Linked DNA regions of Rattus norvegicus. The protein of the gene in region 6 purifies or fractionates together with the protein of the main gene of each other region. This does not show direct contact. Links are inferred from orthologs where the notes say so. Each region holds a gene or a part of one and is shown on either strand. Other genes may lie near its edges.

Evidence for each region.
Region 1: the proteins of Polr3h (region 6) and Polr1d purify together in Homo sapiens (affinity purification with mass spectrometry; 6 studies listed by BioGRID and IntAct, with this or other methods). This does not show direct contact. The link is inferred for Rattus norvegicus from reciprocal best matches to the Homo sapiens genes POLR3H and POLR1D.
Region 2: the proteins of Polr3h (region 6) and Polr3g purify together in Homo sapiens (affinity purification with mass spectrometry; 5 studies listed by BioGRID and IntAct, with this or other methods). This does not show direct contact. The link is inferred for Rattus norvegicus from reciprocal best matches to the Homo sapiens genes POLR3H and POLR3G.
Region 3: the proteins of Polr3h (region 6) and Crcp purify together in Homo sapiens (affinity purification with mass spectrometry; 4 studies listed by BioGRID and IntAct, with this or other methods). This does not show direct contact. The link is inferred for Rattus norvegicus from reciprocal best matches to the Homo sapiens genes POLR3H and CRCP.
Region 4: the proteins of Polr3h (region 6) and Polr2e purify together in Homo sapiens (affinity purification with mass spectrometry; 6 studies listed by BioGRID and IntAct, counting the BioPlex papers as one, with this or other methods). This does not show direct contact. The link is inferred for Rattus norvegicus from reciprocal best matches to the Homo sapiens genes POLR3H and POLR2E.
Region 5: the proteins of Polr3h (region 6) and Polr3gl purify together in Homo sapiens (co-immunoprecipitation; 4 studies listed by BioGRID and IntAct, counting the BioPlex papers as one, with this or other methods). This does not show direct contact. The link is inferred for Rattus norvegicus from reciprocal best matches to the Homo sapiens genes POLR3H and POLR3GL.
Region 7: the proteins of Polr3h (region 6) and Polr3e purify together in Homo sapiens (affinity purification with mass spectrometry; 9 studies listed by BioGRID and IntAct, counting the BioPlex papers as one, with this or other methods). This does not show direct contact. The link is inferred for Rattus norvegicus from reciprocal best matches to the Homo sapiens genes POLR3H and POLR3E.

What each region holds. Positions count from the first base shown.
Region 1 is NC_086030.1:13,084,005-13,087,069, forward strand, and holds the end of Polr1d (DNA-directed RNA polymerases I and III subunit RPAC2), read right to left. Parts: intron 1,193-3,065; coding exon 922-1,192; 3' UTR 501-921; downstream 1-500.
Region 2 is NC_086020.1:13,718,988-13,723,170, reverse strand, and holds the start of Polr3g (DNA-directed RNA polymerase III subunit RPC7), read left to right. Parts: upstream 1-1,383; 5' UTR 1,384-2,033; intron 2,034-4,183. Other genes in the region: acyl-coenzyme A thioesterase MBLAC2, read right to left, coding at 930-1,383. UniProt on the Homo sapiens protein: DNA-dependent RNA polymerase catalyzes the transcription of DNA into RNA using the four ribonucleoside triphosphates as substrates.
Region 3 is NC_086030.1:32,259,665-32,262,216, forward strand, and holds the end of Crcp (DNA-directed RNA polymerase III subunit RPC9), read right to left. Parts: intron 1,598-2,552; coding exon 1,448-1,597; 3' UTR 501-1,447; downstream 1-500. UniProt on the Homo sapiens protein: DNA-dependent RNA polymerase catalyzes the transcription of DNA into RNA using the four ribonucleoside triphosphates as substrates.
Region 4 is NC_086025.1:10,316,217-10,320,157, reverse strand, and holds the start of Polr2e (DNA-directed RNA polymerases I, II, and III subunit RPABC1), read right to left. Parts: upstream 2,801-3,941; 5' UTR 2,725-2,800; coding exon 2,668-2,724; exon of another isoform or gene 2,588-2,667; coding exon of another isoform or gene 2,555-2,587; intron 1,745-2,554; coding exon 1,570-1,744; intron 617-1,569; coding exon 420-616; intron 157-419; coding exon 98-156; intron 1-97. UniProt on the Homo sapiens protein: DNA-dependent RNA polymerase catalyzes the transcription of DNA into RNA using the four ribonucleoside triphosphates as substrates.
Region 5 is NC_086020.1:186,815,170-186,819,335, forward strand, and holds the start of Polr3gl (DNA-directed RNA polymerase III subunit RPC7-like), read right to left. Parts: upstream 2,801-4,166; 5' UTR 2,726-2,800; intron 1-2,725. UniProt on the Homo sapiens protein: DNA-dependent RNA polymerase catalyzes the transcription of DNA into RNA using the four ribonucleoside triphosphates as substrates. Specific peripheric component of RNA polymerase III which synthesizes small RNAs, such as 5S rRNA and tRNAs.
Region 6 is NC_086025.1:115,309,882-115,313,381, forward strand, and holds part of Polr3h (DNA-directed RNA polymerase III subunit RPC8), read right to left. Parts: intron 2,424-3,500; coding exon 2,337-2,423; intron 1,921-2,336; coding exon 1,857-1,920; intron 1,011-1,856; coding exon 809-1,010; intron 299-808; coding exon 245-298; 3' UTR 1-244.
Region 7 is NC_086019.1:184,921,415-184,923,726, reverse strand, and holds part of Polr3e (DNA-directed RNA polymerase III subunit RPC5), read right to left. Parts: intron 2,011-2,312; coding exon 1,933-2,010; intron 42-1,932; coding exon 1-41. UniProt on the Homo sapiens protein: DNA-dependent RNA polymerase catalyzes the transcription of DNA into RNA using the four ribonucleoside triphosphates as substrates.

The DNA.
Region 1 (3,065 bases), on a different chromosome or scaffold from region 6:
TCAGAGTGTTATTTGTGTGTGCGTGTGTGTGTGTGCGCGCGCGTGTGCACATGGAGGTCAGAGGTCACCCTGTAGGAGTCGGCTGTCTCCTTCTGGATAGGTTCTAGGGATTGAACTCAAGTGACTGGCTTTGTGGCAAGCAACCTTACCCACTGAGTCATCTCCCTGGAGCAAACGTTTTTGGTTTTGTTGTTGTCTTTAAATGAAAATGAGAAGAATCTGCAGCCACGAAGTAGACGTTCACTAATATGGAAGGCCGGAACTTGGGGGAGGGTGCCGGAAGGTTCAGGAGGAAGCAAGTGTTGTTCTCAGTAAGTTCCACACAGCTTTAGCTATGGCACACATCCATAGCCGAGAGTCTGGGGAGCAGTGAAATGGGGCACAGTATTAGCCTATACTTGCCCTTGTGCCTGCTTCTCCGAGTGAGCGCTGACTGGCAGCATGGCGGAGTCCCTCAGACTGTGAGCTTAGCATCTGGTACCCAAAAGAGGAAACCATAGTGTTTTTAAATATTTTATTTATTTTTTGAGAAATTCTGGGAAATGACCACAAAAGTGCAGTACATCAAAAAACTAGGAGTTTCTAACAAGCTCAAAATCTCAAATTCTAAAACTCCTTGTTTGAAACGAACTTCAGGTAAGGTAGATAAAGACAACATCGATGTGCAGGGCAATGCGGAATCAGCTTGCTCTCACCACGACGCCTTCAGGATAAGGTAGTTACGATTTGCTTTAGTAAAGTTTTTCTTTTCCTGTTAACAAGAGCAACAAGAACAACAACACAGTACCAAGAGACACCGTAAAACAAAGGACCCACTGAGGAAGTCACTTTCGGATGTCAGAGCCCGCCACCTCCCGGCCTCCTTGCCTCGCTGCGCCCAGTGGCAGGTGCAGTACGGGCTGGGCTGGCCCTGCAGCCATCTCATCGCCGGCTGGGCCTTGGGTCACACTTGTCCCGGGAGGCCCGCTTCCTTGGAGGAGAGCAGCCCACTGAGCCCCGGGCTGAGTGAAGGCTGCGCTTGTAGGAGTGGCTTCTGTGTTTCTTCCCACTTGTTTCCTTCTGGTCTTGACTTTTGCCAGGCTCCTTACTGCCCTCTTTTTGTTCGTGGTCTTGCTCTTTATGGGAGGGCAATGTGTTCTTAATTGTGTTAATAAGGAATCTTTTATTCGTACCAGCGAGAGGACACTTCATCCTGTGGATGTGAAGAGGGAAGAAGACATCATAAATGCAAGAGTTAAATTCCCTCCCTGTCTGGCCCACGAGCCAGATCAGTACAAAAGAATTCAGGCCCCACAGAACCAGTTCCTGAGTTTGTCTGGCTTTCCTTGCCATACAGTGCTGGAGCAGGAGGACTGCCATGATTTTGAGACCAGCGTGGGGTACCAGGTCAATTCAAGTACCAGGTCAGCCAAGGCCCTGGAAAGGTGGCGCAATGGCCCTGTGCCTGAACGTTACAGTGCTACCTCATCAGACTCTACAGTCCCCACAGCAGTCACACCACAGCCCGGCAATGGTGGATTTAGGGAAAACTCACCACAGTCTAAGTGTCTAGCTACCAGCAAGCAGGGAAGCAACTGCAGGCAGAAGTGTGTCAGTGCACTTACAGCTAAGGTTCCTTCCAGCAAATGAGCAGAGGCACATACAGTGAGGGGTGACTGGCCACTCAGGGACACAGGACAGTCACGGCATGGACAATGTTGGAGCAAAGAAGCACTGACTGACTCAGGTGAGTACAGCATGACAGACAGGCCCTGGCGAGTGCTGATTCCCAGTTATCTTTAGAGCAGACAAGAGGGTGCTTGGTCATAGAGCAAGAGGCACGAAATGCAGCTCGCTGCCCCTGTGCTGCAGACAAAGCCACCACACCAGCAATGGCACCCCATCTTCTGCTCCACATACACCCTTTGCAATACAGAGGCTACAAGTATGGAGACTACGAGTCTAGAATGAATGGAAGGTCTGGGGCAGGGGCAGGCCCTCCATGCAGTGAGGTGACATTTATCCCGAAGCCATGGTTGACCACAACTCATGTCGTTGTTTAATACCGCCACAGCTACTATAATCACCCGTGGTAGTTAGTGCATTACAATCTGGCAATCAAATGCCTCAGCGTGTGGCCATCTGAGAAATGACACTCCTTCATTATTTACATACTCCCAAGGTTTACCACGTCCCCAACACTGTCCCGAAAAGGAATGTGAAACACTGGATGAATATATGCCTGTGTCAAATGCATATGTAAAAGCATTTACTATACTTAAAACCTTATGTATGCGGGACATTATACTAGGCCTGTGCAACAAAGATAAGCCAGGCTCTCAGTGGGCGATGTCTGCTATGAGGGGACAGAAGCAGGTGGGCATACAAAGGGTTGCTGTGCGGACTGAAAGCCCCAGGGCTGCAGCACATGGACCACTGGTACAGACTGTGACTGCACAGCAGTCCACTCAGGACTCCAATTTACCTTCAGTACGGACAGGAGAGGGAGGTGGCCAGCAGGACCAGGAAGCACTCACTATGCTGCAGAGTGCTATCAGGCAAAAAGAGAAGAGCTTGGCACAGGGGCCGACGATGCTTCAGTCCCTCGGCTGGAGGTGGGGTGGGGTCTCAGCAAACTTCTCTGGCCCCATAATTTTAAAGCACAAGAGAGAGACTGGATTTCTGTGGTTCTGAAATATGGCAAAGGGCTTATCTATGACAAATGTACAATCCTCCCAGCCTCCCCGCTCAACTGAGATCACCTCCTGTTTGTCTATCCACCAGAGCGTAAAAAAGCCAAAGGCCAAAAAAACAAGTCTCTTTAACTCTTTCTTGTGCCTGGCTGCAGGAACTACCCACTGGCAAGCAGCAAGTCCGCATGGAGCAGAAAACCGCCCGTCTCCAGGACTGGAGAAGCGATCTCCTTTCTGATACTCGACCCGCTGGGGATGTCGCTGTGTGTGGGTGGGAGGCTCTGAGAGTGAAAAGCTGGTGGCAGAGAGTAGCCGAGATGAGGTAGGCCTCTCCTCTCTGCCTGCAGACAACCTGACCCCCTCCGGAATGCACCCAACACCTACTGTAAACCA
Region 2 (4,183 bases), on a different chromosome or scaffold from region 6:
AGAGACTTGATGTGCTGGGGGTGGGGGAAGGGATACCCAGGGGGCCTCCACCCTCCCAGAAGGGGAGACGGGATGAGGGAGTCTCTGTGAGGGAGGGAGCAGGAGGGGGGAGTAGCTTTTGGGATGTAAATAAATAAATCCTAAGGCAAAAAATATAAAATTGATATACCAAGTATTGCTGTTGTCGCTAACCAGTTCAATTAGTGCAGTCCTGCATGGGGAGAAGGGGATTGGGACCCTACTCTATCTTGCTCCATTTTATCAATTTCTTAGGACCAAGAGAATGAAGTCTGCATTAATTAATGCACACACTTTATCCATGGGAAACAACTCCCTTATTGATCGTTCTTAGGCCTCGCTCTCATCCAGACCAGATAGCTGTCATAATTCTACGTTCATGTCCACCATCAAGCCTTTTTTCTTTTTGAGAGGCAATAAGCAAACAAATCCATCTGAAAGGTAAGGATGGACGAAAGCTCTCTAAGTCTACAGGTGAGACTGAGGCACTCTGCGGTGAGCAGTGCGCAGGCAGCAGAAGTCAGCAGTTTTCAGAGCACAGAGCCTAACACTCTCCACAAGGTGCCATATCTTAAAAGCCTACTCGTTACAAAAGCTGGAAATGTTCAACTGGTACTTGGGAAAAGAATGGAATATCTCCAGTCACAAGTCTCTGCAGTGTAACTACCGTAGCCGACTGACTGGGGATGGTGTGAGCTTTCAAATAAACAGCCACACAGTAGCAGCGCGCATCTCCTGGCAGAGAAGACTGAGTGGGCCTAGGCTCTGCCCAAGCTGGCTTTCACGCAGCAAAGGGTGAGTCAGAGTATTCCCGCACGGTAGCCCAACAGTGCCACGGAGGTCTGCAACAAGCTGTACACGCTCGCCAAGCCCCTCCCTCAGAGACAGCGCGCGCCCCCGGGACCTATTACCATCCTGCAGAATGAGGGTGGGTTGCACTGCCTGCACTCGGAATTGCCTGGCCCTCCAGCCAGGGCTGGGCGCCCGCACCACCTCGCTGTCAGAGAGCCAGGTCACGGTCTCAAAGTTGTCCCCGCGAGCCAGGGCCTCGGCTTCGGCGCGGTGCACAGCCACCTGGTCGAACTGATAGAGCCCGCCGGAGTGATCAAAGTGCACGTGGGTGGCCACGGCCAGCAGCGGCCGACGTCCTGCATCCTCTTTGGCACCACAATCCTGCAAGAGGCCGGAGGAGTAGAGGTACTCCGGGAGGCTGCGTAGCCCCAGGCCCGTGTCGATCACCACGTCCTGCTCCGAGCCGCGCACCAGCCAGATGTTGGCCCGGTTGCCTGACTCGTAGAACCGTTCTTGAATCCAGAAGATGCCATCGCCCAGAGACTTGTGGGCATACCACTCGAGTGCCGACATGCCGATGCGCAGGGGTGCGGCCGGGCAAGGTGGGTGTGCCTCCCACAGGCAGTCCAGGACTCGCCGCTGCTGCAGTGAGCGAAGAGCTACTCTCAGCTCCGGAGGAGGCGCGATCGAGGGGCGGGGATGCGGAAGGGAGCGCGGATAGGACGCAGCGACACTGCCCAGATCGCCTGTTCCTCGCCCTCCCGTCCAAGCCGCAGAGCGCAAAGACTGCACCCCAGCTGCCGCAGCTTCTGCAGCTGCAGCACCAAGGCGGTGACACAGGCCGCTGAAGCGGGGCGGAGACACCGGGCAATGCTGCCCTGCTCGGGGTTCCGACTGCAGAGGCCTGGAGGGATGCGTGGGAAGAGACAGGACCGCCCCCACACGGGCCGCGGGCGCTGCGCACTCGTAGCGGGAGGCCAGAGTGAGGCCGAGCCAGTTGGAGGTTGACTACGGCGCCTGCCAAGGGCTAAAAAGCTCCTTTCCGGGGGTGTGGCCTCGTAGAGTGGGCGGGGCTTCCAGTGCGCTACCCTGAGCCGGAGCCGCGTGCGGTGAGGTTCTCGCTGTTCCGGAGGTGGAATCTGCTGCTCCTTGCTGGCGCGACTGCCAGCTTTCCTGCCACCATCGCTGCACAGTGTGCCCAAGCCTCGAGACTTGGTGAGAAGGTAACTGGAAACTATCCCGGACTGGGCTGGAGGTGAAGAGGGTAGAAGGGAGTTGATGGGGCACGTGGAGAACGTGGTGGTCCGATAATCTGGAGCCAAAATTCATCAAAGCCCCTCTGGAGTGACTTTGGGCTGTACCCCTACCTCCCAAAGCCTGCTGCTGCCGGCTTCCAAACCTTTAAAAGTTTTGGTAGCCAGATCTTCCAGCCTCACGCTGGAAGTTTATCCTTTTACAAGAGAAGACTTTGCAAATCCGGGGACTGTGGTTTTTGTTCATGTAAAGTTTGGCGGCAGTTTGGCTAATAAGGGCATACTTATCATCGCTTCTTTTTTCTTAACTGTTGGCACCTTTGATAGTGGGGAGAGGGGCTGGTGATAGAATTTTTCTTTAAGGAGATCCTAAATGCCCGTCATAGTTCTGGGTGTTTCCTTGCTCTTTGAAGAGAGCAGAAAAGGTTAGAGCTTAAGGCAAGGCAGAGATCACTTTGAGGGGACAGGGAAAGTGGATAATCACTGGGTGTGGCCTTGCAAGCAACCGAAATCACCCCCACTGTCAGTATCAAGTCCCTGTGCTTGCACCCCAACCATTAGCTACCGATGCATCTCTTTCAGATTCAGAAATTCCCTTGAGAATTTGACTAACCTTCAGAAATTATAAAGAGACCCACGGGGACAGCATTATCAAAGATAATTAGCAAAATCCTTCCTGTGGCACATAAGTCTTTCCTGGAGGGAGAGATGCATTCTTCCTACACTCCCAAACTCTCCAGTGGGTGTGGGAGCAGGTCGCTGCTCTTTTGAGTATTTTGCTAATCTCATCTATTATTCAATTATGCAATTGGGACCATTCTTAGCACTAGTGCCTGAACTAAATGATGTGTGACAAGCAGAAAACTGTTTAAAGAAAAGTCTGATTTGAGTTCTCAAGAATCTGAGGAAGCTGACACTTGTACACAAATACTTGTTAACTAATGCATCATGAATGCAAAAATTGGGTTCTGCCTAAGAAGGTGTTCTCCACAGAGAAACACAGTGCCCTCTTTACTTTATGCTTCTGCGGCAGAAGGGAGGCACTCGGTAAGATGGCACAGTGTTGTTCTGTGGTCATGAGCTCAGAAATAATTCAGTGATGATTATCCAGCTTGTGCCTAGCTCTAGAGGCCTTTGGACCTACAGTTTCTGATGACTCTTTTATTCTTTTCAATATGACTCTGTTTCTCATCTTAATTAAATTTATGCTCAGATAGTCCCAAATGACTAGTTTATCTGGCCTGGTTCCTGCTTCACTTTCACACCATCTGTCAGGCTCTGACAGGTTCTCCTGTCCGTGAACTCCATAAGCGCAGAGACATTATTTTGTTCACCTCTCTATTTCCAGCAGAGAGGATGGTTTGACCCAGAGGTAGGGTTAGGGTTAGGGCTTCATAAAGACGCCAGTGGATGGTCAAAGACTCTCCCTGGGGAGGCAGAAAACCAACAGTCAGTTACTTGGTGAGAAGCAGAAGTTAAATGTCCTGAGCTTTGTTAAACTGAAGAGAACAGTATATCGGAAGTGTAAAGATTTGCCTTCTATTAAATTGACAAGAGTTTGGTTGAGAATGATAGGAATCTGGACATAAAATGTCTAGCATGTTTCAAAGGGTCAGATGAGCAATGCTAAGGCCTGAGCTAATGCAGAAGAAAGGAGAAGACTAGGGAACACACAGCTAATGGTCATTCTTCAGAGAGATACTGTGACCTGGCTTTTGCTGTCTCCCCTGACCTCCAGCTAGTTGAACATTTACTCATCTCCTTAAATGTGTAAGGTTGTGTGTACACGAGGATGATACATTTAAGTCACAATCATAACTCATGACATTTTAGATCTAGGAAGAATTGTAGAGATGAACTCACCATTTTCCAGGTGGTTGTGTTTGGAGATGGTTAGGATAGACTTTGGTCTCTTGAATAACGCCCATTTTTAAATCTCTTGGAACAGATTCCAAATGGGAATTTTGAGGCAGCGTTCTGAGCTGGAAGGGGCAGTGCGAACTTGTCCATGTTGCATTTTAAATTTCAGATTTGGGGGCTGGAAAGATGGCTTAGCAACAAAGAGCTCATGTTACTCTTGTAGGGGATCAGAGTTCAGTTCCTAACAACCACACCAAGTG
Region 3 (2,552 bases), on a different chromosome or scaffold from region 6:
CAGCTTGCTGGCTGAGTCCTCAAGCCATTGCTCCTTTCTCGATGTCTCCACATTTCAGTGTCTCCATTGGTGACTCAGGGACACACTTAAGGGAGTCACTAACCACTGCTCTTCCCTACTAGAGACTTTGGTAGCCAGAGCCTGACAGAACGATGTATGGGAGGTCAGGCCTATCTTGCCTGAAGTCTAGAGTCTGAGCCACACAGCAAGATCCTATTGTGACTTGGAGAAATGTCTCAGTGCAAAGCACCAAGTAAACTGCCCAGCCCTTGGGCAGATCCTGTTTAACTCCAGCTCCAGGGGATCCAACCGCCATGCTGTTCTGTCCTACGGGAGCACTGCGTTCACACACACACACACACAGACACACACACACACACACACACACACACACACACACACACACACAGACACATACACACCAGGTATGGTGACACACACTATTTTGGTTTTTTGTTTTATTTATTTTTGTTTTTATGACACAAGGTCTCACTGTGTGACGCTGGCTGGCATGGAACTTGCTGTGTGACCAGGCTGGCCTCTGCCTCCTAAGTGAGTGGTATATATTTGAATCCCAGCTTTAAGGAGACTGAGGCCAAAGAATCAGAAAGTGTCTGACGATTTCAGACAGAATGAACTTTGGTCAATGTGGGCTACAAGAGACTCTGAAGACAAACAAACGCTTCTCATGTTTTGTAATGTGTTAGCCAATGCTACCTGAGCACTCTGGCAACAAGAGGGCCATACCCAGATGCCCTTTGACCTTGGACCAGAACCAGGAGTCAAAATAAGCCTTTTCCTTGTCTCTCACCCAGGCCAGAGAGTTGTGGGTTTGCCACAGAAAAGGGACTAATTTCTTTGTATGTGTGTGTGTGGCACGCATGTGTGTTAGGTATATTCACATGTGTGTTCCTTATTATGTACACCAGGCTGGGCTCAGACTGCAGTTTCCTCTTATCTCCTTTCCTTGCCTCCTGCTCTGCCGAGGACATTCCTCTACCGTGAGCTAAGCCCTGGGTCATTTCCCCTGGAGCAGCTGTGTGCAGCTCTGGGAGCTCGAGACCGTCTGAGGTCGTTCCCCAGCTCCATTCTATGGCGGTGCCTGACATTGCCTACAACACAGTCATCAAAGTGCCTGAATAGCTCCCCACTGTGTACAAGTGCGACAGAGGCCACACAAGCCTTTCTACCCAGAGGGCTGCATAGCCATGCTGCCCCATCTCGAGCCCTCTGCCCTTCTCTGACCCCATGTTTCTTGAACCCAAGGCACAAAGATTTCTTTTCATCTTATTTTTGTGATTTTTTTTCTCAACCAATCCTGAGATCAGGAATATTTGAGAGAGGGGTCAGGCCGAATAAACAGTTCTCTGAACGTCCAGGAAATGGCTGTTGTGGCTTTGAGCATCACGAACAACCTGGCCAGCTGTGTCATAATGGCCACAGATGTCTATGCAGGCTCCTCCTCTTCCATTGCCGCGTCATTGCTAGTGCTTTTGCTCTGCTCATCCTCTGGACCTGCAGGCAGGATGCTGGTGACAGTGTGCAGGAGAGCTTCAATCTGCTCCTCCGTGAGCCGCTCTTCACTCTCTTCCACCATCTACAAGGGAAAGGATGCGTGTCGGGTTTAGGAGTAAGCCTCCCATCACAGCCCGCCCCAGCCATACAGGCCACAGCAGCCCAGCACTTGGTCCTGAGCCAGCCTGGGCCTCATCAAAGATCCACAGTAGGATGAAACCAGTTCAAATCCCAGCTCAAGCCAGAGTAGGCACAGAATCACAAAATGAGTCAGTGAAGCCGATTGTCTGTCTGTCCATCTGCCTCTCTGTCTATGACCAGGCTGGTCTCCAACACGGAAATCTGCCTGCCTCAACCCCCCGAGCTAAGGGTGTGCCACCACCACCATGCCCACCTTGTTTCTCATTAGATGAAGGGAAATCTAACTATTCTACTTCCGTCCCCATCCATATGTGACTATGTCGGAAATGCAAAGAAATTCACCTTTGGGGGTTGGGGGGAGTGTGTGTGACATGGCCCTAGGTAAACTTTTGGACTTCACAATGAGCACCTCTGTCACTGGAGTGGTATCACCCACTCATTGGATGCTGCTCTCGTGGGATACACAGTTTCTATCTTTGACTAGTTCTCCTTCCCTGGCACTCACCAGAACTCTGTAGGGGCTTCTGTGTGCTGGAGCCACACTAGGAATTTTATAATCTTACAACACTCACTATAATCTTAGCAAGAAGCAGAACTGGACTCTCAGCCTGGCATTCCCAGGCGGAAAGCCGCCAGCTAACATGGTGGTTTGGCTCTTAAACGTCCCTCAAATGCTGTGTGTGGAAGGTTTGCTAGAACTGCTAGTAGGTGGGGCTTAGAGGGAGGATTAAGGATACCAGGGGTGGAGGGATGGGGGATGCTGGGACCCTGGCCTTTTTATTCTTTGGTTCTAGTTTCTCGAGGTGAGCAGTTCATGGCATGATCATTGTCACAGGCCCACAGCAACAGGGTCATACATACTTGGACTGAATCTGAAACCATGAGGCAAAATAAAC
Region 4 (3,941 bases), about 100 Mb from region 6:
AAAATAAATCTTAAAAAAAAAAAAAAAAAAGAGGCTACTTTGTGCATATGGGCATATAGCCTCACACGTAAAAAAAAAAAAAAAAAAAAAAGGATACTATCGCGCCAGCAGTTCCGTCACCTCCTCCTTGGTCATGACCACGTGCTCAGGGACTAGCTGTGGAAACAGAGACCCACCCGCGGCCATCAGAAACCGACAGACTCAACAGGCTAATGGGTACTGCCACAGGGCTGGGACAGAGGACACAACCAGGCTACTAATATCACCAAGTTGGATGCTCAAGGCCACTGCACTAAAACTGGGGAACGACCCTGCCCAGCTTATGAATGGCACGGCCTGAGACTGGGAAGATCCAGGGCCCTCCCGTATCCTGTCCAGACCACGCCATGCCACCCAGACCTTCCCTGGGACACACGCACCTCATGTTCTGTGATATTGATGAGCAGCTCCTGCTGTAGAAACTGTTCTAGCACGTACTTAGGGGCCATGTCTACCAGGGACTGCTTGGCGGAGGGTGTCATGCCCTGCTGCACCACGATCAGCGCCCGTGTGATGTTCTCCTCCTGCATGCGCTGGCAGTACACCTTGATGGTCTTGATGCCCACCTTGGGCTCCTCTGCAGGCACACAAGTGTGACCCTCACACCCACCACTAGAGTCCCTGATGTCCTGCTGCCTGTGGACTTAGCTTCTCCACTCACAAAGGAAGACCAGAACGCAAAGCCAGCCGCGGTGGGGCTATCACGGGGCAGCCATGGCGGAAGAAAGCTGCACTGTCCGCCCCTCCTGATCCAGGGGGTGAAATTCTCAGCAGCTCTGAGATTTGTGGAATATGGTATTGTCAGCTTGGGCAGCCTCAAGGAGAAACTGTCTGACCAGGAGGTGGACCCTGTGTCTAACATGGGGCTAAGCCTTCTCTCCTCAGGCAGAGTGGGGTTTACTGGAGCATTAGGACGCAGAGCACAAGAGCAGGTCCAGGTCACCTAGTCACCTAGTCTGCAAATTATCGGACCTTATCCAGACTCTACACACCTTTTTACATTATGATAACAGTGGCAAAATTAGTTAGGAAGCAGCAATGAAAATTTTATGGCTGTAGGTCACCACAACATGGAGAGTCCCATTGTCGGGAAGGCTGACAGCCACTGCCTTACATAGTTCTGGCTGTCCTAGAAGTCACTGTGTAGCCCAGGCTGGCCTCGGCTGCCTGCCTCCGCCTCCTGGATTTATAAACACATGCTACCATGCCCATCCCTGCACCCCCAATTCTCACACTAAAACCCCAGGCCCCAGGCATCAACATCAGGTATTAAAGGAAACAAGCTGCCTGCGGAGACTGGAGGAGCTGCAGAGCACCACAAACCTCCGAGAGCCGCCTGGGCCTCAGACAGCAACTGTAGACTACAGCAACAGGAGCAGGGGGACTGAGCACTGGTCTGCGGACTCAGGGGCAAAAAGGACACCGGTGAAATGGAAGCTTCCCAGGGGAAGACAGGGACAAAGCAGGCAGCTGCCACCAGAACTGGAGGCCCCCAGAGGATGCCACTACTGCCAGCCCAAGGACCCTCACCTGGGAAGAAGACAAACATCTGGTCTGTGGGATCATCGTTGTGGGCCACCAGCACGGTGAGGTCTGTGCGCCTCGGCCGTCCTTCGCTGGGCTTGTCCCCAAACTGTGCCTTGAACTCTTCAAGTGTCTGGTCCAGCTCATCCTGGGTCACCAGGTAGCCTCGGTCATGACACAGCTGTAGAGAGAGAAGAGTACTCAGCTAGAGGACAGCTGGGGACTAACACTGACTGACCCGCAGTACCCAAATTCTGCATAGGCTGAGACTACAGAGGCCCCAGCCAAGCCTCCTCCCTTCCCTCCAGCCTCACCAGAGAAGGCTGGGGTCAATGACCTGGCAACCTTCCTGTCTTGGACCCTCCTAATGAGGGCTGAGAACAGGCCTGAGGAGGCCTAGATCAGGTCCTGGGCTCCACCCAACACAGCATAAATTAAAACTATTAATACCTCTTTCTCCACTGGGGTCTTATCTACTCAACTCGAACAACCAAAATGTCTTCCTTTTTTCCCTTTTCTTTCCAGACAGGGTTTCTCTGCGTGAATGTGACCCTGTCTATCCGGGAAATTACCATGTAGACCAGGCTGACCTCTAACTCAGAGATCCGCCTCTTTCTAACTCCAGAGTGCTGGGATTAAAGGCGTGCGCCGTCATGCCGGCTTGTTTTATTTTTTTAAATAGCTTCTTTTAATCCTACGTGTGTCCAAGAGACCAGAAAAGGGCCACAGATGCCCTGGAACTGGGGTTACAGATGGTTGTGAACTACCATGTGGGTGTCGATGGTGAGGCTCCCTAGTACTGAGGAAACCATTCGTTCCCAACACCCCGTAAACCAGGTGTGACCGTGTAGCAGCCATGTATCCCGTTTCCGAAGCAGAGAGTCCAGCTAGGACTTTTCCTCTGGGGCAGGGGGAGGAGGCTGAAGCAGGAGGATTGCCAACAACTGAGGTGGGTGGACTCCACACTTTAAGAGGGGATGCATCCTATTACCTGGGAGGCTGAAGCAAGAGGATTAGCCCCCATTGGAGGCTGGGCTGAGCGGACAGACAACCGCAGTTAGTCCACAGCTCAGCGCTCGCTCAAAACCTCCCCATGCAACTCGCCTGCATGATAGTCTTGCGGATCTTCCACAGCCGATACGTTTCCTCCTCGTCGTCCATGTTGTCGCACTTCACAAACAACTCTGCACGCGCGCTCGTAGACCTACCAGGACTGAGCCTGCGCGGGACAGCATAAAGTGCACGCCCCCAGCACAGTGCGCCTGCGCGGAATGCGGAGAAGGCCCCGCCCAGGTTTGGTTTAGGTGATCGCCGGAATACACCAACTTTCCAGGATAGGTTGAGCGGTGGGCAATCCCAGCATTTACCGCGGCGGTGTCTGCGCGAGATCGCACACGGGAAGATCGCGCGATACTTGACCTGCCTTAGTATTTTCCCACTAGGCGTTTGCAAAAGAAAACTTGGCTGTAGTTCACGCCTTTAATCCCGGACCGAGGCAAGCAGTCGATGAGTTTGAGGCGAGCCTGGTCTATAGCCAGGGACATCCTGTCTCGAAAAAGAAAAGGAAAGAAAGAAAGGGGGAGCCCGATGATGAAAAGCCAGGTTCATGTGCCTCAGTTTCCCTTTTTATATAAGTTTTTATTAATATATTTGCACTTTGTATGAGAAATCGGATTCCAGCGCCCCCAGCCATCTGTAACTCCAGCTCCAGAGGATCTGGGGCCTCTGGCCTCTGGGTATGTCTAAACCCACATGCAGACCCACACACATGATTAAAATCCTAAAAACTAGAAGGAAAAAATGGACATATAGGCATATAGACAATCGACAAACAAGTGTGTATGTGGTGGGCTACTCGTGCTGCCTTGAAAGTTAGAATGTAAACCAGGTCTCAACAGCGCAGAGCATGCCCTGCCTCTGCCTCCGCAGTGCTGGGATTGAAAGCTTGTACCATCGCAACTGGCAAGGGCTGTCGTTGGAAATCTAGATGCGGACTGTACCCTCCATTCTGTCCTGATGTGAGTCTGACTGAGGTCTACAGATCATGACCGGTTCTGGTATGGAAACTTAGGCTGATCCTGACTTGGAAAGACAAGTTTTGGCCAAGGGCACCGATCACTGAACCCACCATATGCCCTGTAGACCAGGGCTGAGGGGCTGTGGTTGCTACAGTTGGCTAAGAGCTGTGGGTGCAAAGTAAGGGGATGTGGGCATGGGGAATGAGAGAGTTTGAGGGGCTGGAGAGATGGCTAAGTGGTTAAGAGCACTGACTGCTCTTCCAGAGGTCCTGAGTTCAATTCCCAGCAACCACATGGTGGCTCACAACCATCTGTAAAGAGATCCGATGCCCTCTTCTGGTGTGTCCAAAGACAGTGACA
Region 5 (4,166 bases), on a different chromosome or scaffold from region 6:
TCTTTGGCTCCACAGTGAGTTTGGGGCCAGCCTGTAGAATTCACTACCTTCCTCTGACCTATGCACCAGGGCACACACTCCACCCAGGCCCACTAACAATAAATACGGTTTTTTCTCATTATATAATATTTTATTTAAAAATTTTGCCTTTTCAGTGTACACTTTCTCATTAGCAACTCCCACGGTGGGAAGACAGTTTATTACTTAGTCTTACATTTTTTGGACAGCTCATTCGTGCATAACTGAGATACATTTGAAGAGTAAGTCTGTTTGCAATCTGTCATATTTGAACCCACCTACAAAGGAGAACTCCCTAAATTGAACTTCCCAAAATCTAACTTTCCTTGATTTCCTTCCTAAGACTTAAAACGTCAGTAACTGAGGGCATCTCCTGATTAAAAGTCCCCTAGAAACAGAGCCACCAACAGCTGGGGCCACCTGAACAAGAGTGGAAGGTTCCAAACAGAATACTGTTCAATTTCATGCAAAGTCTGACTCATGAATGAACAGTGCTCCCTCCAGGTCTGAGGAGAGAAGTCTACTCTTATCCTGACAGCAATTAGCTGGCTCTCCTTAAGAAATTGTGATCAAAGGCAACATGAGCCTATGAAATGTTCAGTTACACGATGAGTCACGTGAACTGGCGTCCAGACTCAGTGACTATAGGACTCAGACTCACGACTGAGTGAACCTAACTCCTCAACAAATAAATTCTGAAAATAGCCATGTAATTAGAAGACATTCTGCCCACCAACGGATTTACCGTTCATCCCCTCCTCATTGTGAGGTGAACAGCATTGATAAAGCAGAGGCAAGGAGGCATGCAATCAAAGTGCTACACCAAGAGGTCAGAGCTTCCACAGCATGGCAACCGCTCTGCAGATGCCTACATTGTGGTAATTGAAGTAGCAAAGCCCAGCAAAGGTCAAAGCTGAGACTGTCCTCATGAACGTAGGCAGAAACCACTTGTCCAAGGCCCCAGTAACTGTGCAGGGTGAGGGTTGCAGCCAGAGAGTAGTCCACCACAGAGCAGGGATTCAAGTACCCAGCTGGAATCAGGCCCAAGAGCAAAACACTGACAACCCTCTCACTGGTCCAGTGGAGAGATGCAGCCTTGGAACCAGACTGGTGGCTTGGTGACAGGTGAATGTGCTGGGTGCCATGCCATCCTGGGGTAGGCTGGTCCTGGAGAAATGTGGACACAAAAGCAGGTCTGACTGCCCAGTTTCGGAGTAACAGAGCTCGAGCTCCTTGGCCACTGCAGAGAACGCCCAGCTTTAAGAGGACCGCCATGTCGCTTTTGAGGGCTCCCAATAAATAAGTTTAAGTTGAACAAATACAAAGAAAAAATAAAATAGTGGCTGGGCCTGAAAAGAGCTGGTGAATTCTCTTACTAAAGATGCTGGCTCTGGAGTAGGGGTGTGGTTCAGGGGTAGAATTAATGCTTAGCATTTGTAAGACAAGATTCATGCTTCTCAATTTAAAAGAAAAAGTTTATTTGGGGTGCAGTGGTACAAGCCTGTTATCCCAGGAAGGCTGAGGCAGGAGGATCATAAGTTGGAGGCCAGCCTGCTTGTCCTGCATAGGAAAAAACCTGTCTCAAAAATATTTTCCCACATACTCAACAACAATTTATTGGATAGATGTTATCAGAGGGTTCACTATGATCCCCATTGTCTAACGCTGTGTCTGGGATGTAGTAGGTGCTCAGCAAATTCCTGTTTGAACAGGAGTCTAGAGACCCTGTGAGTCATAAAGACTCCCTTATGGTTCTTATAGCTGATTTCCTTCTCTGGTCTGAGAATAACTATAAAACATTAATGCAATAAACCACCAATTTAAAGGCCTTTAATTATATACTATGTTGTCTTTTATTGTTCCCTAATTATATTAGGAGTTTAAAACTGGTTCCCACAAATCAATTCCATTTGATGAACGCTTATTGAACACAATGTATTAAGTACCACAACCTGTCCCATCAAACCTTCGGTTCATGGAATAGAAACATCAAAAGAGAACGTGTAATCCTAGCACTGGGGAGACTGTAGCAGAGGAATGCAAATTGGAGGCCAGTATAGGCTACACAGCAAGAGTCTGTCGGTAAAAAGGATGGGAGGGATGGAGGGAGACAGTGAGCCTCATGAGATACTAAATACTCTCTTTGCCAGGTGGCCAGGAAAACAGATTGATTAGCTCAAGTTGTCCTCTGACCTCCTTGCGCAAGCCATGGCGCGCACGCCACCACCACCACCACCACCACCCCGATAATAAATGTGATTTTAAAAGTTAAATAGATTTCAATAATGATAATCAGACATTGTCAGGCTGAGGATCAGTAAACTCTTCAAGGAGGTCTAGAAAAGCAGTGGGTAGAGGGTAGCGAGCGGTTCAGTTGACTTGATAGGTAATAAGAATCTGCCAGGCTCTTGACAGGAGGTTAATGTTAACAGACGTGGAAGAAGCTGATACCATAGAAGAGTCTGAGCTACAAGAATGAGCATTCCTCTCCTGTTTTAATATCTGTCCCCAGGCACGACAGCAAGCTGTGTCTCTGGTGTACAGTCAAGACAGCAGTGAGAGCCCGGGAAGAAAGGGGAGGGATTCAGAAGGGGGCTAGTCCAATAGGCTGACAGAAAGCGTTAACTACGTTGCTGTCTGGCGCCGAGGGACTAAATCTGGAAGTACCGAACCAAACCCGGTCAGAGCCACCAGGTCCAAGCCTTACCTGCCGTCCCTCCCCCACTCGGGCCCACGCAGCCGCCAACTTGAAATTTGCTTTTCTTCTTCCAGCCCGCGTTCTAGGCCCGCCTCCCTGACCTCTCCATTGGTGGGTTTTCCTAGCCAATCAACAAGAGCGGAGGCGGGCAAGGAGGGGTGGAGGTGGGAGCAAGCCTAACCGGAACTGAGGCTTGGCAAGTAGGGCGCGCTGAGACCTGGGGCTGCAGTGTTCACCTCTTCTGCCCAGACGGAACCGACTCTGGATGGCAGGAGTCGGCTAAGATGACCTGCTCCTCAGAGCACTTCCAGGCACGTAGCTGAGCCAGAAGAGAATTGCTGCTGGGAAATGTAGCCTTGTGTTAGAGAGACCAGACTGCTTAACTGTTAACGGCTCGGCCAGCAGGAGACTGGAGTTAGTTCCCAGAACCCTCCAGGAGGCTCCCAACCGCCTCCAGCGGTCTCCAGTGGAGACTCCAGCGTCCTCTACTGGCTTAGGACCCCTCCCTTGCCCCCCCCCCCCAACTCCCCAGCGTCAGTCTTTTGGTGACTTTCCGACCCTCTCTTTCAGCACTACCAATAAATACTTAATCTTTTTTTTTAAAGATTTATTTTATATATGTGAGCACACTGTAGCTGTCTTTAGACACACAGAAGAGGGCATCAGATCCCATTACAGATGGTTGTGAGCCACCATGTGGTTGCTGGGAATTGAACTCAGGACCTCTGGAAGAGCAGTCAGTGCTCTTAACTGCTGAGCCATCTCTCCAGCCCCCAAATACTTAATCTTTAAAAGATTTTTTTTCCCTAAAGACAGGTTCTGGCTACTCAGTCTAGACTGGCCTTGAACTCTTGATACTCTTGACTCTGCTACCGTGGTCAGGCCCCAAATGCCCAGTCCTGTGAATTGTTGCTATGTCTGAGAAGTGGGGGAGGGAAAGGCTCTTGGGATCAGAGAAGTCACTGGGGAGAGAAGGTGGGAATCCAGTGGGCTTTTTTGTTTTTTTCTTTCTGCGCTTTGCACTGCCCTTCAAGCCCCTTCAAGGGAATGGTGTGGAGTAGAAAGAGTCATCCTGGGTTGGGGATTTAGCTCAGTGGTAGAGCGCTTGCCTAGCAAGCGCAAGGCCCTGGGTTCGGTCCCCAGCTCCGAAAAAAAGAAAAGAAAAAAAAAAAGTCATCCTTTCACGGAGTAGAAGTAAATGGAAATACTTCAGGATGGAGATAAAACTAGGAGTTAGTCAACATGAATATGCCAGAGGTCAGAGAAAATGCTTGTGGATGACACATACTCGGTTTTTGGAATAGTACAAAAACATAGCAATGAAACTTTGGGGAACTTGCTTAACCTGATTTGTTGCAAGAAGACAATAGTTCCCACCTCATAGAGTTCTGAGGGTCGGAGATGATGTACGTATGCAAAGCACTCAGCACACTTCAATAGCTAGTAAAAG
Region 6 (3,500 bases):
TGACCAGAAGCTCCATGCTATGCTAGACAGCAAGTGAGAAGCCAGCCTGGATCCATGACACTCTGAAAACGATTCAGGGTGGCTCCAGATCAGAGAAGCAGTGCTGGGGAGGAAGAGGACAAGCACCTGTCACTCTGCTCCTGGTCCCACCAAGCCTGGCTCCAGCAGCACTCAGTGCCAGCTGCTCTCTACTTTCACAGGTCTGCACAGTCTTCAGGCTGGGCAGTCACTGGGAGCTCCAGGGCTAGTTGCTGGTCCACCAGGAGAGAAGGCCCAGGCCTGGCTCACTGATGGATCCCTGCCAAAGACAGAAAACACAAGTATACTCATCACCACTCAGAGCTGGGCTGCCCTCACCCTATTCAACATCTAGCAGGCCAGCACAGGCAAAGCAAGGCCGGGTTCACAACAGTCGGGAGGCTTGGAGAGACAGAGAGCAAGATCACTACGTATGCCCTAGCTCACCAGATTTTTAGGAAAGAGGCTCCAAAGCCTCAAGTGGGATCAGGGAACCCTTCCTCGACCCCAGACCTGTCTTTCTGAGCTCCCAAAGTTGCAGAGGGAGGGGCCTGAAAAACACTCTCCTGGAACCCTGCTCTAGTCTCAGCTTTGATCTCTCTAGCCTCTTGTTGGTTTTTGTCCCTTAAAGATGATCATGATATCCAAACTCTTACCTTGCCTGCCCATCATCTACAGCAATCTTGTCACCATATGGCCCCAGCCCTCAAAAGCAGACTAGTGTGATTGACAGATGACAATCAGAGAAGACGACCTGAAACCTCAAGAAAGCAGTCTCCTGTCAGCTTACCACGAGTGTATATGGTGCTTCCTTCTTTGGCAGCTCCTCGCTTGAAGAGGCAGCCTCGGCTGAGCTGGGTCCTGTGGGGGATGTGTCCACAAAACTCTCATCCACCACCCTGAAGCGGATCTCCTCACCAGTGTCCATGTACAGGTCATGAGCTCCTTCCTCGGTCTCATACTCCCACACCCACACTTGCTCCGCTTCATCACTGGAGTCCAGGGTCAAGGCCACAATCACGCCATGGGAGCGCGAGGCTGCGGGTCCTCTGAAGTACTTACCCAGGTTAAAACCAGCCTGAGGTTGAGACTATCTGCGCTAGGAAATACAGTAAAAGCTGCTTCTGTCCCTTGGAGAGCAGCCAGTTTGTACCAGGACCCAAAATGAGAATTCTATTCCCACCTCTAGGATGAGACTGACCTAGGTGCCCTGCATTTCTCTTTTAATCCTCATAACTAATCTGACAGGCAGACAGAGATCATGGGGCTTGCCCGGGCCTCAAGAGAGGCAGGTCTGACTGCCACCTGTCTAGGAAGGAGGAGAAACAATAAACCAAGGCCAGATTTGCTGACGATTCCACAGTCTCATGTAGCCTGTATTGCTGCCTGCACAGGCCTGGGTGAGAGGAGAGGCGAGTGCCTGCTCTACTCCTCCCCTAGCGCCTACAGAGCCATACTGCCCTCTAGTGGCACATCTCCCTCTGCCCAGACCATGAGTGCAGTTGTGACAACCACCTGAGCCCCTCCTGGGACCAGTGACAGTCCCATTAAAAGAAACAGCCCCACAGCAGGGGGTGAAGAGAAGCAGAGACCACCTGCCAGGTGAAGCTGCAGGGGACATGTGAAGTGACTTCTGCAGAGACAGCCTGAGTGAAGTGATGGCTGAGGAGCCGTAGGGCTCTATTATATCACCCAGCCTGACAGACTTGGGCAGGATGGGAGGCAGAGGTGGCCTGGAGCTTCACACAAGCACCACCAGTGGTGACAGATCACAGGCCAGGGAACCACAGTAATGGGGCTGGCTGTCCACTTGCTCCAAACCACACTTGAGAGGATACAACTTGGCAGGCTGCTGCAGTGACTCAGGGGGGATGAGGATGTCATCAAAGAACCCTAAAGAGACTGGAAGAAAGGAAGAAATGACATGAGAATGAGGCTTCAAAGGGAAAGCCCAGCAGAGATGGCAAGTCCCTCTCCCATGCGGCCCAGGTGTCTCCAGGGCAGTCTGTCCCCTCCCTCCTCAAAGCCCTCCTTCTACCCCACATGGGCTGAGCAGCCCTGGGCAGAGCTCCAGACACACAGCTCCCAGCATTCTCAGGGAGCCCGTCACCTCCACCAGCTCAGCACCCATTCTCAGCTACTAAGCTGTGGCCTTACAGGAGAGCTGAAGCCCTGACTCCTTCCTTGAGAGTATGGCTCTGCAGCTGACAGCCCCTCCACTGCCATAGGAGAGGCTCAGCTGGATTCTGGACCACGTGGTCAGCATAATGCCCACCCCACTGCGTCCCAGTCTTGCCCCAGAAGTCAGGGCACCTTACCGTGCACACCCTCTGGGCTGCAGCCTTTGATCTTCCCAATGAGAATCTCATCCAGGAAAGGGTGGAACACCACGTATCGGAAATGCACTAGAAAAGAAGGCCACACTGTGGTAGTAACACCAGGCCTGCCAAGAAGGCCACGGAGCCTGGAGCTGCTCACGTTCTCCAATGTTCGCCTCACTGCCAGCACTTAGCCAGTGCTTCATGCTGAGTCCTCTTGCAGGCCTAGACCTGTTGCTTAGCCAGAGAACAAAGCCTCCCTCACTTATGCAAGGCCACAGCTTGGTCCCCATAAGGAACCATCAGCAGCTGCTGCCCTGGAACTGAGGCTTCCAAATCCATCTCAGTCATACCTGAGCCTAGATTCTGGGCCATGAGTGACCCCCAAAGTCAATTCCGAACGACCTTCAGGCTGCTCTTCACATTCCAAAAGGAAAGAAGCAACTGGCCAGGCTTGGAAGGAAGGTCCTGTCACCTGACGCCCAAGCACAGAAGCTGACAGGAGACCAGGGACAGATACTAAAAATGCAAGGCTGCCTGCCTGGCGAGGTGACATGGGGAAAGCCTTCCTGTGTTCCCATGCCTTGTCCTATGCACTCTCCACTCACCTGAACCAAGGAAAAGGCTGGCTAAAGCTGTACCACACCAGAATGACTCCTGGCCTCAGCAGAGGCCACACCTCACTGGCCCTGTCACCCAGAAAGATGTTCTCTGCCATCACTGCCTATGAGCCTCCTGTGCCAGATGCCATGTTCTACCATACAGAGGAAGAGGAGGCAGCTCAGAGGCTGTGTGCCCTGTCCCAACCACACAGTTCTCCTGCTCATTCAGCCAGGGATAGACTCTAAGGCAGTGGTTCTCAGCCTTCCTAATGCTGTGGCCCTTTAATACAGTTCCACGTGCTGTGGCGACCCCCTCCCCAACCATAAAATCATTTCATTGCTACTTCATAACTGTAATTTTGCTACTGTTATGAATCCTTTTTTCTTTTTTTCAGAGCTGAGGACTGAACCCAGGGTCTTGCGCTTGCTAGGCAAGTGCTCTACCACTGAGCTAAATCCCCAACCCCTACTGTTATGAATCCTAATGTAAGTGTCTGACCCACAAAGGAGTTGGGACCTCAAGTTGAGAATCACTGCTCTACATCTTGCCTCAGACAAGGCC
Region 7 (2,312 bases), on a different chromosome or scaffold from region 6:
CGGTAATTTTTGGAAAATATTTCAAGCAAAACCTGTCGATGCTTTATTTAATTTAAAAAAAAAAAGTGTTAGTTCGATAGTGATAGTATCCCAAATGTGAACTATCCCCAAACAAAAGATCCAAAATGATGGCGCTGGCCCCACCTTGCAGTGTCTAGTGGCTTAGCACTCCTGGTTAAAGATTAGCAAGACCGACCTATTGGTCACTGTTGCAGACTTCAGTGAAGGAACTCAGGATGAGCAGTTTGGACATACAAGGAAGTGAGCAGAAGCATCTAGTTTAGACTGGGTGGGGGAAAGGTATCTAAATTGGTTCAAAGTCTAGACACAAGCATAACACTGAATCCAGGAAACTGGAAAATGCACCAAACTCCTAAAGAGACATTAAATAGCAGAGGACAAATAAGGCCATCCTCAAAACAGAAGGGAAGAATGAAAACTGACTGCAGAGGGTGATGACTCACACACACCTCACAATCCCTGTTGGGAAAGGGGCATCAGCATGAGTTCAAGGCCAGTCAGGGCTACAGTGAAAAATTCTGGTCTCAAAAAATGGGCAAAGACGACATCTAGTAGGTTTAATAGCTCAAATGTCTATAAGGATTCAAAAAGGTAAAGAAATTTATCAGCCTACAGGATTCTCTAAGAGCCCAACTGTCTAGTAAATAAAGAATTCAGAATACATCAAGGTCCTACCAGTGTAGGGAACAATATACGCCATGCAGTTTGCAGTTAAGGGAAGATCTCACGAGAAGAGTATCACTGAATTTCAACTTTGAAATGATTACGATACCCTCTTCCTAACGGGGGGAAATTATTTGCCCTGTAAAATTTTAGTTCTATTAGTACCAGCAGTACTTGAGGGCAGAAAGAAAGAACGCTGTCGATATCCCATCAGAGGCTAAGACTCTAGACACAGGAAGAGCCACACATGGAGAAGCAGTGTCCTCACATTCCACAGGAGTCGTGCTGCTGGTCTGCTGGGGTCAGAACAGCAGACTAGTGCACAGAGGAAGTGAGCGGTGAGATGGCTCAGCAGAGAAGGTGCCTGAAGGCCTGAGCTGGCTCTCTAGCCCCACATGTTGGAGAGGAAGCAGTAACTGCAGCATGAACATGTTCTGTGCACTAGCATGTGGTAACCACTGATCGGCTCACAGTCACAAACAATCGGTCACCTCTGAGGGCAGAGTCAGCTTCCCCACAGTTCTTTAGGCCCTGTTCAGTTTTAAATGAACTTACTACTTTTTTTCCCTTAGTGATCTGAGAAGCTAAGTAGGAAAGCCTCAAGCTACCTTTCTTGGCCAAAAACAGGGTCACTTCAGGACTCCTGTTAGAAGCGAGGCCTCATACCCACTCTTGCTCTCAGCCTTCCTGTCCCCCTGGCAAGTAAAAGGGAAACAGGCTTCAACAGGATTCACTCCTGTCTCAACCTGACTGGCATGTCTGCTAAAACCAAAACACTTTAATCTTTGGAATTCAGGCAAGTTCATGATTTAAAGGCATCTGGACCTCAGCTCTTTCCCAGAGCTGAACTACCCAAACACTGGAGACAGGATCGCAGAACAAAATAACCAAACTCCAGGTTTAAGACAGCTAATAAAAAAGCCACTGAGAACTCTCCTCTGCACGTGGTTTCCAAGCCTGCCTGCATCACTATCATAGAGCTCTAAAGCTCAGAGTGAGGCCACCATACTGCTGGAAACAGTCATCTTTTCAAAGGTGATACTGTTCTAATTCGACAGACATCCACCCAAGTTCAGGGGCAAACCACTGGCACACATGGCCTATCTTGGAGTGACTGGAAAACCTGACATGTCCAACTATACTCTAGTGTCAAGATTCTAATAGCCTCAACCTTCTAGGACTCCCGCTCTTAAAAAAGAAAGACGACAAAAAAAAAAAAAAAAAAAAAAAAAAAAAAAGGCACCTCACCTGGTCACTCATGTCTCCAGACTCCCAGAGGGCAAATACCTTCTGCTCATCAGGGGAAGCAGCAGTCTGTGGGGGAAACTGGCCCAAGCATGAGCTGGTCATTTCTCTGCCTTGTGATCTGCTGCCCTGCCCACTTCAACCCACCTAGCCTGCAACCCAGCCCTAGGCAAGAGCGGTCGAAGCCTAGTTCTCCCACTCACTGGCTCTGAGATGACAGTGCGACAACAGGTATTGGGATGGCATTAGTGTGTGTGATGCTGCTTTGAGGCATCTACCTGGACTTCTACTCTAAAGTCTCCTCTTCCCTAGCATTCCTCAGGGCTTCCGGTCAGCTGTTTCCCACAAGGGCAGCATAAGAAGTGTGGCTAAAACAGGATGTT